Sus scrofa: one gene and its partner. The protein of the gene in region 1 interacts with the protein of each later gene in a pairwise test. Links are inferred from orthologs where the notes say so. Each region holds a gene or a part of one and is shown on either strand. Other genes may lie near its edges.

The links.
Region 2: the proteins of CPT1B (region 1) and TEX44 interact in binary tests that used the Homo sapiens proteins (3 or more experiments, as listed by UniProt). The two-hybrid records come from large-scale screens. The link is inferred for Sus scrofa from reciprocal best matches to the Homo sapiens genes CPT1B and TEX44.

The regions. Positions count from the first base shown.
Region 1 is NC_010447.5:161,194-164,085, reverse strand, and holds the end of CPT1B (carnitine O-palmitoyltransferase 1, muscle isoform), read right to left. Parts: intron 2,827-2,892; coding exon 2,662-2,826; intron 2,590-2,661; coding exon 2,455-2,589; intron 2,360-2,454; coding exon 2,207-2,359; intron 1,670-2,206; coding exon 1,556-1,669; intron 1,087-1,555; coding exon 994-1,086; intron 882-993; coding exon 798-881; 3' UTR 550-797; downstream 1-549. UniProt on the Homo sapiens protein: Catalyzes the transfer of the acyl group of long-chain fatty acid-CoA conjugates onto carnitine, an essential step for the mitochondrial uptake of long-chain fatty acids and their subsequent beta-oxidation in the mitochondrion.
Region 2 is NC_010457.5:132,264,680-132,268,200, reverse strand, and holds TEX44 (testis-expressed protein 44), read right to left. Parts: upstream 2,053-3,521; 5' UTR 1,766-2,052; coding exon 701-1,765; 3' UTR 589-700; downstream 1-588.

The sequences.
Region 1 (2,892 bases):
ACTGAGCAATGGCAGGGACCGAACCCGCAACCTCATGGTTCGTAGTCGGATTCGTTAACCACTGCGCCATGACGGGAACTCCCACTTTTTTCGTTTACTTTTAATATTAGTTAAAAAGCTGACCCAAGGGAAGGCATGTCTGTTGCTCCAGATTATCCTGTGCACCTTCTCACAGACACAACCACCTGGCACCCAGACCTCAGGCCTGGGACTGCAGATTCTCCCGATGCTGAGGGCTTCCTCGGAGCTGTGCTCCAGCCAGGGTGGGGGGTGCAGAGGGCATGCGCAGGCACAGAGGCAGCTGGGCACCCCCCTCCAGCAGACACACAGAAGTGGCCCCAGGGAGCAGGTGAAGGTTCCGAAGTAAGAACTGATTCCAAATGCACATGTGGGTGTGGACAGCAGAGACCCACCTTTCCAAGCAGGCCAGAAGCCTCCGCAAATAGTCTCCCAGCCACAGCCCTGCCCTTGCCACTTTCCTGGCCTGAGCTGGAGCAGGGGGAGGCCCTCCTAGTTCCCAAACAAAACACACGTACTTAAGGGCTAAAATAGAATTATACAAACTTATTTTTATTAGCATCTAGCAAGAAAAAAAAAAAATCAAGATTCCCTCCCTGCTGCAGCCCGACTTCCACCACTGAGCCCTTGGGAGCAGCCCTGCCCAGGCAGCAGCTGCTACCAGAGGTGTCCTTGGAGCCTGGGCACCTGCGCACGGCCACCCCTGTGCCTGCGAGCTGACCACAGGCCCCTTCCTCCACGATGCGGGGCCAAAAGGGCATCTGGTGTTTCTCCAGCCCTCAGCTGTCAGCTTTGGGAACTTGGAAGAGATCGGCGAGGTCCAGCAGAGCCTGGCGGATGTGGTTCCCGAAGCGCTGGGCGTTCTGCGCAAGTCAAGAGCTCAGAGCAACTCCAGGCGAGCCTTGCCCCTCTGTCCCCACAAGCAAGCGCTCTTCCCCAGCCAGACAGGACCCTGGGGGAGCAGGGGAGACTCACCGTCTCTGAGCTTGAGAACTTGCTGGAGACGTGGAAGAAGATGGTGTTCTCGCCCGCGATCATGTAGGAGACCCCGTAGCCGTCATCGGCCACCTGGGGGCAGCACGAGCGGTGAAGAAAAGAGGTAAACCAGCCCTTGCGGATCTGACGGCCAAGCTGCTGTCATCCCTGCTCCGCCCGCAGGATTCACAGGAAGGGGCCTCCCCCAGGAAACGGTGCCGAAATGGAACAGCTCCGCCCCAGGCTGCAGACCAACCCCCCGCCCCCGGAGCCACGACCTCGAGTTCCCTCGGGGTGTGCAGGATCACTGCCTCTCTCCAGGGTCTCTGGCTCCCTGACAAACCAGCCCACTTGAGAGGGAGCACAAGGTCCTAGGCAAGGCCGCTCCAGCAGAGGTGGGGTTCCAGCTGCCTTTCATGCTGGGGTCAACAGGACCGTGTGTTTCCATGCAGGGCAGGTCCAGTTGTGCTCCTGCCTCTGGTCTAAGCTTGAGGCCCTGCGCTCTCTACTGAACCCTCCGGCCCCTGGCCCTGCCCGCTTGTCTGCTGTCCAGGGCACTTACAGGGCCAAAGCCGCCGCCGGCACCCAGGTGATTGGGGTACTTGTTTGGGTCAAACATGCGGATCTGGAATTGGGCAATCTGGCTGGTGGAGAGGCGCCAGGGTTCTGAGAGCACCTGCAACAGGGAGGCCCCAGCAGTCAGATGCCATGCGCTCTGCCCACACCTGCGGACAGGTGAGGCCCGAGCACCTGTGTGAGCCAGGCACCGTCCTGGCTGCGGATATGGAAGGGATGGAATGCAGGACCTCCCCGACTGCTGCCCCTGGTCCCCAAGGTCTGTTCTCACTGTCTCTGCGGCATCGGCACAAAGCCCTCAATCACGTGGCCTGCCAGCCCCCTCCCTTCCTGCTGTTCCTCAAACACCCACACCCCTGCTTCAGTGTCAGTGTCCAGGTCCTGGAGGTGCCGAACACGGATTCCCTTTAGCCTCTGCACCTCTCTCACGAGCACTGTCGCCACCTGACACGTCTGTCTGTCCAGCTGCTCTCACGAGGACACCAAGTCCATGGGGGGAGGCTCCTGCTTCATGCCAGGTCCGCAGGCCTGGGTGGGGTGTGCAGCGGGAAGGCTGGGCCCAGCCGTCCAGGGCAAGTGCGGGAACAGGCGGAGACCCGCGGGGAGCCGGCGTGAGGACACGCCCATCGACACTGACCTCAGCCAGGAAAGGGGAGCTGACCCCCAGGTACTTGGAGACCACGTAAAGGCAGAAGAGGTGCCTGTCGATCCCAGCCCCGGTCATGGCCAGGCGGTACATATTCTGGTGCTTCTGGGCAGCTTTCCGGAACAGATCTTGCAGGTCTGCTTTCTGGGGGCAGAAATGGAGCAGTGAAGAGCAGCCCTGACCCCCACGCCAGCAAAAGGCCGAGGGGTGCCCTCACCACAAGGCCGGGGGGCGCTCACCACGCGGCGCCCCTCCACCATGGCCTGAACGAAGGCTGTGGACTCGCGGGTGCAGGACCGCACGGTCTCTGTCCGTCCCTCCCGGAACATTCGAGTCATCGAGGCTTCATAGGTCAGGCAGAACTTGCCCCTGTCCTGGGGAACACAGAGGGGTGAATCTCCCAGGCGGCTCTGGGGCCACCCCACTGCTCAGCGGCCGGCTCCTACCCGGAAGTAGGCCAGCTGCAGGGCGATCTGCACGAAGGCGTCGGGGCTGGTGCGGCACTTCTTGATGAGGCCTTTGCCAAAGGGCAAGAACTGGAAGCAGTACAGCTCCACGTCGTCCGCCAGCGCCTTGGCCACCTGGTAGGAACTCTCAATGACCGCCTGGCACTGCCGAGACATGGAGAGGTCAGCTGGGGGCACAGCTCTCCAGCAAGAGCCCAGGGTCACATCTGT
Region 2 (3,521 bases), on another chromosome or scaffold:
TACTCTGTTCCCACCGTGTCCCCAGCCTGCTGGCGGAAAAAAGTCATGGCAGCGGAAATGTGTGAGTTTCTTAAGTGCCTGACATCATGTGTTGGGACCTGGGTTGTTTCCCTTCCTTCTGCTAACGTCTTCATGGAGTGGGTTTGTTATCTGTTCTACTGATGAGAGTTGGAGGTTCAGAGGGTGCAGGGATTGGCCTATAGCCAGGAGTGGTGCTGGAGTTTGAGTCCAGTTGGTCTGGCCCCGTGCTCTCAACCCCACTCTCAGAGAGCCTAGCAGGGCGGCCTGAGCCTGCGAAGCCGGCAGGCCAGGGAGAAGGGCTGGGACTTGCTTCCTGCGCAGAAATGCACTTACCTGATTGGAGGTCCAGCCAGGATCAGTTTCTGCAGGTCTGCGCCCCCTACGCCTGGTCTCCCAGGCCTGCCCCGGGCTCTTCTCTCTCTGCACTTTGGCCTCCAGCCCCTGAATGGGGCAACCCAAGAAGCCCTCAGGGGACACAATCTGTTTCCAGAACACCCCAGCCCCCTCCTGTCCTTCTCCCATGTGCCCACTGCACAGACAAGGGATGAGGCTGGCACTTGGAAAATAAACGTTTGCTGGTGATTTATTGCCCGGTCTGGGGAGAGCTCCCAGGCTGCACATGGGCAAGAGGACAGAGCATGAGTGTCCCAGGGGTCTCAGGAGGCTGCTGAGTACAGATCTAGTTGAGGTTGGGGCCCGTGTGGGCCTGGCGAGAGGTGAGGTGGCTGGTCAGGTAGCGCACGGCCAAGCGGATGCCCTCCATGGTCCTGCGCTCCGCCAGTTCCAGCATGTGGGTGATGGAGCGCAGGGCCGAGCTGGTCCCCACCACCAGCCCGGAGGAGAAGGCGGGGCTGGGGCTCCCCAGGATGCTGGAGGCGGGGTGCAGGCGGGGCCCCGTGCTGCGCAGCAGGTCTGTCACGGAGCCGTGGCCAGAGGCCAGGATGCCCCTGGTCATGCCCATGGTGGTCTCAGACCACACCAGGATGTCTGCCAGGGAGCTGATGGGCCCCTCGCCCCCGCCCAGCAAGCTGGTCACGGAGCGCATGTAGCTGTTGTCCTCTCTGGCCATGAAGTCCAGGCGCCTCCTCCCCAGGGCCACCTGTCGGCAGCCAGGCAAGGCGGGGGCCGATGGTGCGGTGTCTGTGTCAGGGTCCAAGGCCTCTGGACCCTCAGGTTTCTCCTCAACAGCTTCAGTGGAGCCAGTGGCCAGAGTATCAAGCTGGCCATTGGCGTCTGCAGCGCTCACGACAGGCGGCGCCTCCGCATTTTGGGAGGGCTGCACCTGAACACTTGGGAGAGATGAGGCTGGTTCCGGCTCCATGTCTGAGATGCCCGCTGTTTGCGGTGTCTCCTCCTCCTCCTCAGTCGGGGAGGTGTGTTGGAGACTCTTAGGACTCTGGGTCATCCTTGCATCTTGCAGCGGCCCGTCCTGCAGCAGGTTCTGGAGGCCCCTGGATGTTTGCAGCACATCTGGGGCCAAGTAAGCAAGCAGGACCTCCGTGGGCTCCTGGGCAGATCCTGCGGCAGCTTCATGCTTGTCCTTGTCCCCAGACTCTGACACGGCCTCCAAGGTGGCTGGCTGGACAGAGGCCTGGTCTACATCCCGCTGGTCAGCTGACACTGGGACATCTGCAAGGAGGGGGACCTGACTTCGGGACCCCACTGCTGGGATGTCTGCTGCCCTGCTCTCACCATGTGTGGGGATGCTGGCGGCTCTGGCCTCTCCCAAAGGCACAGAGGTCATCTAGGCCCTCTGTCACTTGTGCCAATTGAAGGAGTGGCCACGGCCCTGCTGGGCGGAGTCGTCCAGGTGGTGAGGTCACAGGGGGCTGTTGAAGCTGATGATGTCACAGGCACCTGCAGAGCAAGGGTCCTGAGCCTCCGGAGCAGCTGCCCTTGTGGGCTGAGTCTATGGGACTTTTCGTAGCCAAGTTTGCAGGTGTTTAAGGAGAGAAAGGCAGACGTCTGGGGAAAGCATGGAGGGTGTGTGTACCCAGGGGCAGGTGACGGTAAGGAAACATCATGGCTGTGAGCTGATGAAAGAAGACGGATGCAGGTGTTCATTATAACACACTCACAATACCTCTCTGTCCACACTGGTGACTGAGTTGGCCCGTCTTTCTGCAGAGAGTCAGTTTCACAGCAATGGTGAGTCAGAACACGTGAAGGATGAGGGCCTGGGCTGCTCCTAACCCTGACTGTCTTTGGTCATGAGGAGCTAGAGACGGAAGGTTCGTGTCTCACCCCCAAATTTATATGTGGAGGAGTTCCCATGGTGGCTCTCTAGCAAGGAAACTGATGGGTATCCATGAGGACCAGGGTTCGATCCCACTTAGCTCAGTGGGCTAAGGATACGGCGTTGCCACAGACACGGCTCGGAACTGGTGTGGCTGTGGCTGTTGTGTGCCAGCCGTGGCAGCCGCAGCTCCAATTCAACCCCTAGCCTGGGAACTTCCATATGCCACTGGTGTGGCCCCAAAAAAAGACCAAAAAAAAAAATGTTGAAAGCTAATTCCCAATGTAATAGTGTTTGGAGCTGGGGATTTGGGGACTTGATTAGGTCATGAGGGTGGAGCCCTCAGGAATGGGATTTGTGCGCTTCTAGAAGGGACCACACTGAGGTTTCTGGCCACCTCCTCCATGAGAAATGCAATGAGGGAGTTCCCGTCAAGGCTCAGTGGTTAACGAATCTGACCAGCATCCATGAGGATGCAAGTTTGATCCCTGGCCTTGTGCAATGGGTTAAGGATCCAGCATAGCCGTGAGCTGTAGGTCGCGGATGCGGCTCAGATCTGGTGTTCCTGCGGCTACAGCTCTGATTCGACCCCAAGCCTGGGAACTTCCATATGCCGCAGGTATATGCCCTAAAAAGACACACACACGAAAGAAAGAAAGAAAGAAAGAAAGAAAGAAAGAAAGAAAGAAAAAGGAAGGAAGGAAGGAAGGAAGGAAGGAAAAGGAAAGAAGAAAGAGAGAAATGCAGTGAGAAGATTGTTGTCTGTGAACCAGGAGGCAGGGGCCTCACCAGACACCCGAATGAACTAGGACAGGCGGTAACCCTATGACACCAGGCTAAACAATCTCCATCTTCTCCCTGCTCCACTAGGCTGGGAGCGTAGAGAATCACCAAAGATCTGGAAACCCCTGAGTGTTCTTTGAAGAAGTATAGACCCAGGCAGCCCTCCTTGTGCTTGTGGCTCTTCAGTAAGAAGGTGGTTGGCGTGGAGGTGCCAGTGTGTTGCGTCTGAGCTGCCCCTCAGTCACCAGCTAACATTAGTGACTGCTGCTCACGGGCAGGAGAAGGAGCTAAACATCGAATCCTTCCAACTACCCTGTTGTCTCTAGGCAGGTGAGGATTCATCATTATGCTCATTTTATACATGGGGGAGCTGAGCCCCGGAAGGAATAAATCGCTTAGCATCAGTCTTTGTGGGGTACTTACACCGCGGGCGGTGGCTACAAACCAGGGTAAAGCAGTGGCTGAGCTGTGCCCACTGAAT